2 linked regions of the Arabidopsis thaliana genome follow. The protein of the gene in region 1 interacts with the protein of each later gene in a pairwise test. Each region holds a gene or a part of one and is shown in the gene's direction. Other genes may lie near its edges.

Region 1 (7,824 bases):
GTCCATACTCGTGGAGTTCTAGCTATTGACAAGTCTATGGAGAAATATATAGTTGGTAAGGCTGATGACTGTGTTAGTGATGTTGCAATTTGTCAAGTTAACCCCATTGATGAAAATGAGTTTGTGGGTTTTATCGAGTATAGTGAATTGCTACTAGGAAGTATGTTCTAGTTCCTGATTCTTGAGAACAGAGCTAGGCTATATCTTCTCAAGACACACCTTAAGCAAGCTGAAAAGTCAATGAAGACATCTTGTGTTCTAGTGGAAACGGCTTTCAGTGGAGCTAAGGTTGGGTGGAAACAAGAGGTTATGATGTTGGAACTTCAACTTAAGAGTGTGGAAAATATGTGGGAATGGGCTTATGATGAAGGCAAGAATAAGCCAAGGAATGATGTTGATTATACTCTAATCTTCTTTGTGATTTGATTAAAAACCAGTACATGATAATCATATCTATCTGTATATACCGACCTATCATTCTCCAACTCTAGTTGTATCTCCCCGTAGACCGATGCTATAATTTCTGAGCACTGCTTCTCAGCTGCAGATTTCAGTTTCTTCTCAAATTTCAGCAAAGACACAATGAACAATGCAACAGCCTTGAGATGTGGAAGATAATCAGCTTAAGCCAAAAACGAAGATTTAAAGTAAATGAATGTCATACTACTATACTAGTAATATCAATAACAATAAGAGACCTTCCAAAGCCTTCCTCTTCATCCATCTGGAAAGACTGAGTACTATATATCCCTGCTCAATTCAATAGAAAAATGAGAGTGCAGTATAAAAAAAACCACAACGACGCCGTACAAACGATCAGTATACCTTTGGAAATCAATGAGGCAGGACTTAACACAAGACGTCTAATGCCCTTAAGATTAGCTGTGGCAGCTTCTCTTTCTTCGAGACCTAAATCTAAAGATCAAGAAAATAAGCAAAACATGGATTCTATTAAGAAGCAACTAGGATCTAGAGGGAACAAAAAATGTGAGGCATACTGTTGTAATAAACCAACATATGTTAATCACCTATGAGTTTCTCATTAGACAACGGATCTGTATCTTCATTTGAAAAATCTCTTGTCTTCCCCGAGAAGTCCTGAAAAAATAAATGTTTGACACATGTCAAAGATGAGTATATGTAGATAAGGCAGCTTGAGATTAGTGATTAGTGATTAGCTACCGAAATATAGCAGAACATATGACAACACATACCAAGTAAACTAAAGGACATCTAGTTACATACGTATATGGATTGCGTGACAACATATACGAAGTATATGGTATCATGTCATCAATATCATAAACATATAATCTCAGGTTAAAACATATATCATAAATAACTGATCGACTAACTCCGGCGTTAGCAAACAAAATATTCAAAACTAACTTTTAATATTAAAAACATTATTTTTATTTGATACTGTATAAGAAAATAAAACACATTTTATATCCAATATAAATATATTTTGTATATAGATTTAATAAATTAATTCTTACAATATAGTTAGTTTTTTTCAATTTCAAAACTAAATTAAGAGAATAAACATTTTTTAAGATATGAACTATTCATTAATATTAATAGTTAGTTTTTTTAAGAAGTTAATTTTTTTAATTGTTACATATTTTTAATCAATAGTTAGTTTTTTTCTTATATTATCAATTAAAATTATTAACTTTTTAATTTAAACTAAAAAGTTATATACTCAGTTTTTTCATATTACTTTCATATGAAATTCATATAGTCATGTGTATTGAGTATAATTGTAATAATTTATTTTTTAATAAAAATAAAAAGTTAATTTTTTTAATTGATAATACAAAAAAAAATTCCGTTCCCTTACTTAATTGTTGCTAATAAAAATTTTCTGGTTTTAATTTTAAATTTTTATATCTAAAAGTTTTAAATCATTTTTTTTATATTTTTAGTTTAGTTTTGAAATTGAAAAGCTAATTATTATAAGAATCAATGTATTAAATATATATGTAAAATATATTTATAGTAGATATATAATTATTTCTGATTATACAATAACAAGTAAAATTATATTTTTATTATTAAAATTATTTTTGAATGTTTTTGTTCGTCAACGCTTGTCGCTGGTGGACGTCGAAGTTAATTGACCATTGACAATCTAATAGGGTCATATCTAATCCGATTGCTAAACAAGGCCATCGTCTCTCTCTATCAATCAGCGACGGAAATAAATGGAAGGTCAAGGTTGTTGTGGCGGCGGCGGCGGAAAGACGGAGATGATACCGACGGAGGAAGCTCTGAGAATAGTATTCGGCGTCTCTAAGCGTCTGCCTCCGGTAATCGTATCGCTGTATGAAGCACTTGGGAAAGTGTTGGCGGAAGATATTCGAGCTCCTGATCCTTTACCTCCATATCCTGCTTCCGTCAAGGTTACTAATAGGATCAATTTAATCTGGTGATGATTACAACAGCGAATATTTGATTAATAACTTGACATTATCGTTGTTTAGGATGGGTACGCAGTTGTTGCTTCAGATGGTCCTGGAGAATATCCGGTGATTACTGAATCAAGAGCTGGGAATGATGGTTTGGGTGTGACTGTTACTCCTGGAACTGTGGCTTATGTGACAACTGGTGGTGAGTATATTGCATTTGATGACTTGAAAACTTTGTGCCTGCATTTTAGAGTATATGAAAGTGCTTCTAATTTTCTGTTCTTGTTCACTACTTACTATTTTTCCATTTGGTAGTGTATATGCATGGAGAAGTGTCTGAACGTATATGTTTCTTTGATTTCAACCTATTGTTTTCTTTGGTATGTTTCTCCTTTAGGACCTATACCTGATGGTGCGGACGCAGTTGTCCAAGTTGAGGACACTAAAGTAATTGGAGACGTCTCAACTGAATCAAAAAGAGTAAAAATACTGATTCAAACCAAGAAAGGCACCGATATCCGTAGAGTGGTATGCTTTCTTCTTTTCTCGTTTATGTAACCAGTGTTGTACTTGATATCTTTGATTTCTTATATCTCTTACTGTTTGCTAAATAGTTGAAATCTCGTACTTTTCTTTTATATGTAACGCCATTTGTTGATCTAAGACCATTTTTTTAGGAGTATGCCTAACCGATTTGTTAAATAAATTGAATTACTGTGTCGTTTGATGGGTAAGTTATTGGAACAAATGGAAGATGGTGGGCTAGTTTTGGATATGTACTTGAATTGTCGGACAGCATCCTGTTTTTTGTTATTATCTAGGTTTGTGTTTGCAATGTTTCTTAGAGAAAAGACTCTTGTGGGACTAAGAATAAGCATGCATGAGGTCACCGCTAGAAGACCTGGGGATAGATAAAGCATGTTTCTCTCGTATTAACCATCAAATCTAAGTAGGTGATGAAAAGCAGCTTTTTCAGCTGTTTGGAGGAGATACAATCGTCATATGTTCATTATTGTTTGACAATTTATATGCTAGGGTTGTGATATTGAGAAAGATGCAACTGTACTAACAACTGGAGAAAGAATTGGTGCCTCAGAAATCGGCTTGCTAGCAACCGCAGGAGTAACCATGGTGAAGGTATTGCTGTATATCATTTTTATTTTAGCAGAGTTACTAGAAGATAAGTCCAAAAAAAGTGTTGAAAAAAAACTTTCCTGTAGGTATATCCTATGCCAATAGTTGCTATTCTCTCTACTGGAGATGAACTTGTGGAGCCGACAGCTGGGACTTTAGGTCGTGGGCAGGTATTATGTAGAACTAAGATTCCTGATGCATATGAAAGTTATACCTGTGTAATAATTGCAAATAGGTATTGAACCTTATAATATCTTTAGAGGCTTAATAATGAGCTCTCTGCAGATTAGGGACTCAAATCGAGCAATGTTAGTGGCAGCAGTGATGCAGCAGCAATGCAAAGTTGTTGACCTTGGAATTGTTAGAGATGATAGAAAAGAACTTGAGAAGGTTTTGGACGAGGCCGTATCCTCTGGAGTTGATATTATTTTAACTTCTGGTGGTGTTTCAATGGGAGACAGGGATTTCGTCAAGCCATTACTCGAAGAGAAAGGGAAAGTATATTTCAGCAAGGTAAATAAGCAGTAGAAGTTTTCTCCCTGCACTTTTTCTTTCTCTGCTTTAAAGCGGAAGAGTTGGCTACTATGTTTTCTGAAAATTCTTTTTACGGGACTCTACTGTTTAGTTTCTCAACTAAGCTCAGTAAGTTGACTATGTTTAGTTTGCTATATAGAATGAACCGAGAAGTTTTCATATTTTAGTTTTTTTGCAGGTATTGATGAAACCCGGGAAACCTTTGACCTTCGCCGAGATTAGAGCAAAACCAACTGAAAGTATGCTGGGGAAAACAGTCCTTGCATTTGGATTACCTGGAAATCCTGTGAGCTGTTTGGTTTGTTTCAATATCTTTGTTGTGCCTACAATCCGCCAGCTTGCAGGATGGACAAGCCCCCATCCACTGAGGTAACTGAAGTTTTTCATTATACTTGTTTCTCTATATGAATTCATTCTAAAATGATCGTCGAGAAAAGGGTAGATTACAGTCTAATCTCTGCTCAGAGTGCGACTTCGACTTCAGGAGCCCATCAAGTCTGATCCCATCCGCCCCGAGTTTCATCGGGCCATAATCAAATGGAAAGACAACGATGGATCAGGGACTCCCGGGTGAGCCTGTTCATAATTATGTCTTCTTGTGAGTCAAAAACTTAGCTGGATCTTCCTAGATTTTCTTGGAAGTTCTAGTATGCATTACTATCTTAAATGGGCTAATAAGATATACCTGTTTGTCAGATTTGTTGCTGAGAGCACTGGACATCAGATGAGCAGTAGGCTTTTAAGTATGAGGTCGGCTAATGCTTTGTTGGAGTTGCCTGCTACGGGAAATGTGCTTTCTGCTGGAAGTTCTGTATCAGCTATAATTGTTTCTGATATTAGTGCCTTTTCAATAGACAAGAAAGCCTCATTATCAGAACCAGGCTCTATTCGGAAAGAAAAGAAGTACGATGAAGTACCTGGGCCTGAGTATAAAGTGGCTATTCTTACCGTCAGTGATACTGTCTCAGCTGGGGCTGGACCTGATCGAAGGTATGATTACTGTTAAACTTTATTGATTGTCCCGTTGCAAATCTGGATGAATTGAGTTATGTAAGAATGTTGAAGATATACACACTTTGCATCTTTACAACCTTAAGACTGCATAACCACTGTAAGAAGATGATTCGGAAATGGCAACACTGAGTTTTTCTTTGTCCTGGAATACATTGGTTTTGATGGTCTTAAACATATTTGTCACATATGTCTTAGCTTCTGATAATTGCGGAAGTGGCTAGTTGATGGGTATATTAAGTTTATGCTTGTGGGTAAAAAGTTTTCTGTCTGTTTAGAAGACCTGTTACTGACTGACTATTTGATGAGGAATGAGCTAGAACATGAATTTATAGTAAAAAAACGTCTAGATTCACCTTCTCGATTTTCTTATAATGTGGCAAAATGGATGCAAATATTAATAATGTAGAGTTGATATCTCCTCATCCCGAGTTAAATTCAGTGAGTGAAAACTCTGGAACCGAAACTTCTTACAAGACTTACTTCATTTTGGTCGATTAAAAAGAGTGCATCTAGATACACCTCTCCAGTTCGTTATTCTGGTGAGGTCACAAATTCGATGCCATAGTAAAACTGCACAGTTATATTGCTCCCTGTCATAGTGAGACAGGAAAGCATCACAGTGCTTTGCTACATCTTTAAGCAAAATCTCATCTCCATGCCATTCTTCATGTTAAATGCCCAAACCCTCTCCAGATAGTTTTTTGTTTGTATTCACTTCAAATTTGTGTGAAAGTTTTGGTCTTATCAATTATTTATCCATTGGTTTTATGATCATTTCTTGTTTGAATTTCTTATGCTGGTGTAGTGGGCCCAGAGCTGTGTCAGTAGTTGATTCCTCGTCTGAAAAACTGGGGGGAGCTAAGGTAGTTGCAACAGCTGTTGTCCCCGATGAAGTGGAAAGAATAAAAGACATTCTTCAGAAATGGAGCGATGTTGACGAAATGGATCTCATTCTTACACTTGGTATACAAACATTTAGTTACTTATTGTTGATTTGTTGTTGTATTTGAAGCATATTTTTGATATAGTTAACATCTTGGAATTAGGTGGTACTGGCTTCACTCCAAGAGATGTAACACCTGAAGCAACGAAAAAGGTGATCGAGAGAGAAACACCCGGTCTCCTCTTTGTTATGATGCAAGAGAGCTTAAAGGTTTATTACTTACCTCTTAACTCTACTGATATTTAATCTTATAAACCAAACCCATCCAATTCAAAAAATTGAGCTTCAATACAGTCAGAATAGTTCTTCTTTCTCTAATATGCAAAATCCTGAAACCAAATTAGGTCACTATTTTCTAAAACTGAATAACCAGACCTGGATTGAACATTGTTGCTTTTCTTCATAATGGAAAAGAATGGTGGTGAGCAGTCATCTGATTCCGTGTCCTTTTTTCTCTGTGACAGATCACTCCATTTGCGATGCTCTCGCGCTCTGCGGCAGGAATTAGAGGCTCAACATTGGTACAAATCTCTAACTTCACATTAGTATAATATCTAAGTTGCCATCATCACTCACGTTTCCATGTTTTTGGTTTCCCCAGATAATCAACATGCCTGGAAACCCAAACGCAGTGGCCGAGTGTATGGAGGCTCTGTTACCTGCATTGAAACACGCACTGAAGCAGATCAAAGGAGACAAGAGAGAGAAACATCCGAAGCACATACCTCACGCAGAAGCCACCCTACCGACTGATACATGGGACCAAAGCTATAAGTCAGCCTATGAGACGGGAGAGAAGAAAGAAGAGGCTGGATGTTCTTGTACTCACTAAAACTCTCCAGCTTCTCCACAAAGCCCCAAGTGATTTTGCTCTGCACTGTTGTGACTGTAAAACTTTTGACAAGTTTTGTGTTTGCTGAGTTAGTTACACGAAACCCAAATACTATATATGGTGCGAAATGTAGTTTTTGTAATAAGGTTCTACTTTTTTGTAATAATATGCATATCCCTTGATGAGAAAAATACTTTGCATAAGCCAAATAACAGAAAATATCAACAATTTGATTAAACATTCATTTTCGGTTTGGTTTACGAATTTTCGGTTTGGTTTACCTTAATTAAAACCTGGGAAACGAAATGAAATAGTAGAGAGTCTCCTCTTTCCCCGGATAGTGAACAGAAATAGGAGCTCAGTTTGAAACCAAAGCTATAAAAATGGGTCAGCTCGCTCTTCAGAGACTCCAGCCGTTAGCTTCGCTTCCAAGACGCCCTCCTTCTCTCCCGCCACCGTCTTCAGCTACTCCGTCCCTCCCTTGCGCAACCGCCTCTCGCCGCCCCCGATTCTACGTCGCCAGGTTTTCTTCTATTTCCCTCGGATGATTCTATCTCTCTTGTTGGTGTATTTGCAACTCTATTTACTTTCGTTATGGTTTCACTATTCAACCTAATCCTGTTATGGTTTCTCTTGTTTGTTTGCAGTATCGATTTTGTACCATAGGTTGTTTTTCATCCTCCATTTGCAATTTGCATAAGCATTCGAAAAATGTATTGATGCTGTGTTGTATTATTTGTTAGATTCATGAATTTTCCACTAATCCTGTTGTTGTTTGTGAAAACAAAATAGAGCAATGTCATCCCACATCGTTGGGTATCCTCGTATTGGACCGAAGAGAGAGCTTAAGTTTGCATTGGAGTCCTTCTGGGATGGGAAAACCAATGTTGATGATTTGCAAAATGTTGCTGCTAATCTGAGAAAATCGATTTGGAAACATATGGCTCATGCTGGAA
Region 2 (5,663 bases), on another chromosome or scaffold:
TTGCATGAGTATCAGTAAATAACGTTTGTAACCCATCTTACACTGTCCAGATATATTGTAAATGAATTATTTGTCCTATTCTTGATAAAGGGAATAAAAGTGAGGGAACTTTATCACTGATCAATCAATTTTAAAAAACTAAAATGGTTATTTTGTTTCATTGAGAGCTCTCTATAAGAAAAATAGCAAGAGGGCTTTATTATATAAAGCATAAAATAAATTTCTGCATTACATTATTACTAGCATATTAGAGTTGTAATTTGTAAATATACACGAGCCTATTACAATTTTCCTGTCTTGTTCTTATTCATTTGGACATATTTTTAGAAACAACTTAAAACTGATTGCTGGTGAAATTGATGAGCATGTGATGTGATCGATAAAAAAAACAACTAGATGAGTGACTTGCGTCTATTATTTTACCAATCCTAGCTTCGACTATTAACCTATAAACGAAAATATCATGTTCTGATTAATTATATATGTAACTACGGTTTACAAACGAATATACGGACAACAAAAACATTTTTATACTTATCATATATCTAGAATTTGATGGAAATATAGGTTTTTGTTTCAAAGTAATTGTGAATAATCAAATATACGATCTTATATATACACACCCTATAATGAATCTTCACCGCGCATAGGTCATATATAAAGTTTACACAACATTTCTATATCACATTACCGAAATCATTCATGAATTAAGTTCGTTTATCTACATGTATAAGATTTTACACGCAAATTGTATCGTTTCTTAGAACATTAATTAATCATAACAGTCTGCATGCGAATGTTTCTCTCATCTGCAGAGCCAATCAATAAAACTTCAACATTCAAATTAGAAGATTCACAAAGTCATCATGATCCCTCGATAATGAACTTCAGCTGATGTGCATCGATAATGTACTAATATCGAGAGCGAGCATGTCTCTTGTTAATGAGTTTTTCAACAAGCCTACTATGAATATAACTTATGTGCCAAAATCTAAGTAACCATATGATCCACACGTACTATAAACCGAATGGATTTGTCCCAAGTGTTTTTTTTTTGGTTTTAATGTGAAGAATTTGTCCCTAGTTTATGTTTGCACCACTCACTATAGACGACTTCGTTATTATTTCTATCTAATCCTCAAATGTAAACGTCAAACAATCCTCAAATGTCATTTTCTCTTAACGATCGTAGCACTAAATAATCATCCGTCAGGACCGTCACAACTTTTTAAATACGGATTCTTTTTTTCTTCGTCAAAAGTAGTCGATGTTCGTGAGTTCAAAGTATCTCCTGTCAACAGTACATGAGCTTGCCATAACTAAAGTTTTTTTTCCAACCAAAACAAAGGTTTTTGGTAGTACGTAGCTAGTAGCTACTGTTTTGAAACAAAAATAATAGAAGGAGAAAATTAACACAAAGGAAGAATTTGGTTACGCGTGCCAAGATGAGCTGTATTTGTGTGGTTGGGGAAAGACCCGCGTGCTTAAATCTCTCACGTGTGAAGACCTCAACGAAGCAACAAAAAATAAATTGAAAAATGATTAATTAATAAACAAAAGAAAAAAAATAAAGAATACCAAATATATATTTTTTAAAATACAAAAATTTCTTTTTTCCCCCAAAAAAACAAGTACTTCTTTAAATATTTAAGAATATTTCATAACTCAGTTATAGAAAAAAAAATCGAAAATTAAGCAACTTAGAAGTGTTTTAGTCCAAAAAAATATATTTTCCCAAGCATGCCTTGACCAAATATTTAGGAAAACATTTTCTCTTTCTAAACTTTACTAATCGTTATTTTTTCTTAATAAATGTCGCACTTTTGAAAAATACTAAATAAAAAGTAAAGTAATTTATTTAAATAGAAACTAATCGATGACGAGCATGACGTGAAGACGCACTATATAACAACCATCCCTGAGCCAAAGCATTAGTGGTAACAAGATAAACTATAACAACAACGAAAAAAAAAAAAAAAAGTTTTCAGATATCGATTAGGTTTGTTTGACACTCGTAAAACTGTCTTAAGAAATTAGATTCTTGTGCTCAAAGAAACCTTAAACTGCTTACCTTTTCTCTTTCCGCCCAAAATTTAGAATCACATGGAAATCAAAGGTGAATCGATGCAAAAGTCAAAGTTCAGAAGAATCTGTGTCTTCTGTGGAAGCAGCCAAGGCAAGAAGAGCAGTTACCAAGATGCTGCTGTTGACCTCGGCAACGAACTGGTAACACGTTCATGACTTTCTACGTATTATCTTGTCTTTCATTCTGCTGGTGGTTTTTGAGATAAGATGATGTTGTGCTTCTCTGTTTCATTATGGTCTGCAAAAGTGTAATTTTCTTAAAGGTTTTTGATAAACATGTTCACATGATGTGTAGCTTTTGCAAATGCAGAGCATTTTTTCTTTCTTCTTTGAAACGTGCCAAGTGATATGGGTTTGAATGTGTGCTTCATGTAGAACTCAAAGCTTCAACTGTTTTTTTACCAAATCTAGGCTTCATGTGTAACTCTGTTTTATCTTGATTTTGTTATGCAGGTTTCAAGGAATATTGATCTAGTCTATGGAGGTGGGAGCATAGGATTGATGGGTTTGGTTTCACAAGCTGTTCATGATGGTGGTCGTCATGTTATTGGGTAACTTTCTCTCTTTAATATCTTCTCTTAAAACAACTTTGTGAATCTTTTTTAAGATTATACAGAAGAAAACTGTATTTTGAGTTTCTGATGGAACACAATTGTCATAAGAACTTCTAATAAACCTCATTTTTGTCATCTTGTTGTCACTCTACAGAATCATTCCCAAGACCCTCATGCCTAGAGAGGTAAAACATTTCAAGATTTCCCTATTTTTAATACTAAAACACTATTGTTTGTTTATTAATATGTATCTGTAGGTTCTCCAAATCCCCATTCAAAACACATTTAGTCTCCAGTCTTTGCTTCAGTTTTACTCTTCTCTCTATTTATTACCCTTTCTTAAGTCTAATGATTATGAGTCTGCCTCCTCTTCTTTTCAATTAGGTAACCTAAAATAAAAATATCTTCTTTGTTTATGTTATTTTAAACAAAAGGTATGTGAAAAAATGATGAAAAGAGGTGAACTAGATTAGGGTTCTGTAAAAAAAAAAATGGAATATGTAAGATATTCAAAAAAAGCCAATATTACGATTACTTGCAATGCCATCATTGCTTTTGCCTGTAGAAGAGTCCAAACCTGCTTTTTCTCTCTTTAACTACTTTTCATTATTACTTCCTTTTATATAAGTTTTTAAAAAAAATTGGTGGATGTGCTCTTTGTTTGCAGTTGACTGGTGAAACAGTAGGAGAAGTAAGAGCAGTTGCAGATATGCACCAAAGGAAAGCTGAGATGGCTAAGCACTCTGATGCTTTTATTGCCTTACCAGGTTGTGTTTTTAAACCCCATCCACCCAAAATTATCATCATTTTTTCACATTACTTTAAACCTAAAACTTTTCTTTCAAACCAAGTAATGATGATAAGGAAAAACTGGTCAAAACTCTAGTTACACATGAGTCTCAAGAACACCAGTTTAGGCATTTGTTAGCCTTTTAAATGAATTTTATGGGAAATCAAAAGTTTAAAAGAGGAATATTTGTTCATGAAAATATTAAAAAAGTTTGACTGATTTTGCCAAAAGAGAGAAGAAAACAATTTGGTTAAACTAAAAAACATGTTGTCTTGGTCAAGCTGTAGTGTGAAAGCTACACTGAAAAGTTTTTTTTGGTATGAAATTTTTAAAAAAATTATGAAAAGTCCCTACAGTCTAAGATAAAGGACCTTGACCCATCAACATCTGGCACTTAAAATTAGACATTTTTTTTTTGCTCTTCTCTTTACTCTGTTTATTGCTCTGCTTTTAACTTAGGAGGTACTATCCATATAGCTTGTGTAGTCTTACTGTGACCAAAGTTTTCTCCTTACCTATTTCAAGGTAAGAGACAAAACCTGAAACAGTCCCACAAATAGCATATTTTTGCCCACACTGAATCTGAAATCATTATGGAAAGTCAAGTTCTTTCAAAGATCTTGCTTTTCTAATCATATTCATCCCATTGTACAAACTTGTAACAGAGAAGAGAAGACTCTATTATTTGGTTTGTCTTGTACATAACAAACTTGTTGACTTGACCATATCATAGTTACTAATTTATCTCCTCTCTTTTTTTTTCAACTATCAAATCTAAAAGTTTTGTATGAAAATTGTAGGTGGTTATGGAACACTTGAAGAATTGCTTGAAGTCATAACTTGGGCTCAGCTTGGTATACATGACAAGCCGGTAAACAAATAAACCCTTCTATCACATTTTAATCAAAAAGTTTCAACTTTAATAACAACATATCATGCATCATTTTTCTGTAGGTGGGTTTGCTCAATGTTGATGGATACTACAACTCTCTGCTCTCATTCATTGACAAAGCAGTCGAAGAAGGATTTATTAGCCCGACTGCTCGTGAGATCATCGTCTCCGCACCTACTGCTAAAGAGCTGGTGAAAAAGCTAGAGGTAAATTAAACTTATAATGAAGATGGATCATTAATGTTTCTTCATAATCTCATAAATTGTTGTTGTTGTCTTTGTAGGAATATGCACCTTGCCATGAAAGGGTTGCAACGAAGCTTTGTTGGGAGATGGAACGGATTGGTTACTCCTCTGAAGAGTGATTCAGATCAAGATTATCTATATAACTATTTAAAATATTTTATAATATAGATTTGAAACTTTCGGAGATTTCATGATTTAATCTTACTAAAAAAGGAAGGGATAGATTTTGATTAGTTGGGTAAAATTTCCACTTCGGAGGAGATTTTTAATGTAAATTATTAGTAATGTCTTTTTAAGTCGAAGCTAAATGTTTTTAGTTTATGTAATTGTCGCAACTCTCTACTATTGTAAGTTGTAACCAAGACAAGTTTCACACTTTCGTATCTATCTCTCTTCACATTAAAATCAATACAGACGAAAAAAGAAAGATATATATTATCTGTATAAGATTATGTATTGTCAATACTCAATGCCAGAGACTGTCTCTTAACAACAACAACAACAGAAAAAACAAACGAAAACAACAAAAAAATCTAAAAAAGCTTCATAAAAAATGAAATCTAAAAAAGCAACCAGCTTTTCTTGAAATGGAAAAATATCTTTTGCCATTTCAAGAAAAGCTGGTTGCTTTTTTAGATTTCATTTTTTAGCCATTTAATACTAACCTTTATTATAAACTGTCTAAAAAATATTCAAAAAAATAAAGGCGTATGTAGATAGATTCTAATTTGCATGAGAAATTAAGTAATACAGTGGTAAAATAAAAATAAAACGAAATAACGTAATTTAGTAAAATAACATGTTATCAAGCAAAATAATTTATATCATATAATACCATAATCCATAACTGCGTACTTTCTAAGAAAATAAAACTTTTATTTGTTACCACGAAAATTGTAAAATAAATTGTGAATATCTACCTAAAAAACTCAATCATTTACCTAATTTATGAAAAATGTAAAATTAGACGTCAACATCTTTCAAATAGACGTTCAAAACATAAATCAATCAAAACCGACACTAATACTATGTTTTTGTCGATGTTAAAGTTAACATATACTGTTTTTATAATTTTTTAACAACGTCGGTTACTCTGT

The links.
Region 2: the proteins of B73 (region 1) and LOG3 interact in a protein complementation assay, tested with the Arabidopsis thaliana proteins (one study listed by BioGRID).

The regions. Positions count from the first base shown.
Region 1 is NC_003076.8:7,127,781-7,135,604, reverse strand, and holds B73 (molybdopterin biosynthesis CNX1 protein / molybdenum cofactor biosynthesis enzyme CNX1 (CNX1)), read left to right. Parts: upstream 1-2,092; 5' UTR 2,093-2,207; coding exon 2,208-2,405; intron 2,406-2,433; exon of another isoform or gene 2,434-2,486; coding exon 2,487-2,613; intron 2,614-2,808; coding exon 2,809-2,939; exon of another isoform or gene 2,940-3,446; coding exon 3,447-3,548; intron 3,549-3,631; coding exon 3,632-3,715; intron 3,716-3,830; coding exon 3,831-4,058; intron 4,059-4,257; coding exon 4,258-4,448; intron 4,449-4,544; coding exon 4,545-4,649; intron 4,650-4,775; coding exon 4,776-5,069; intron 5,070-5,898; coding exon 5,899-6,056; intron 6,057-6,139; coding exon 6,140-6,246; intron 6,247-6,500; coding exon 6,501-6,557; intron 6,558-6,637; coding exon 6,638-6,868; 3' UTR 6,869-7,130; downstream 7,131-7,824. Other genes in the region: AT5G20995 (uncharacterized protein), read right to left, coding at 659-750, 826-915, 1,029-1,153, 1,246-1,289; MS3 (methionine synthase 3), read left to right, coding at 7,252-7,391, 7,661-7,824. UniProt on the Arabidopsis thaliana protein: Catalyzes two steps in the biosynthesis of the molybdenum cofactor. In the first step, molybdopterin is adenylated. Subsequently, molybdate is inserted into adenylated molybdopterin and AMP is released.
Region 2 is NC_003071.7:15,623,275-15,628,937, reverse strand, and holds LOG3 (lysine decarboxylase family protein), read left to right. Parts: upstream 1-1,999; 5' UTR 2,000-2,103; coding exon 2,104-2,226; intron 2,227-2,538; coding exon 2,539-2,636; intron 2,637-2,793; coding exon 2,794-2,824; intron 2,825-3,306; coding exon 3,307-3,406; intron 3,407-3,664; coding exon 3,665-3,736; intron 3,737-4,229; coding exon 4,230-4,300; intron 4,301-4,383; coding exon 4,384-4,527; intron 4,528-4,604; coding exon 4,605-4,685; 3' UTR 4,686-4,947; downstream 4,948-5,663. UniProt on the Arabidopsis thaliana protein: Cytokinin-activating enzyme working in the direct activation pathway. Phosphoribohydrolase that converts inactive cytokinin nucleotides to the biologically active free-base forms.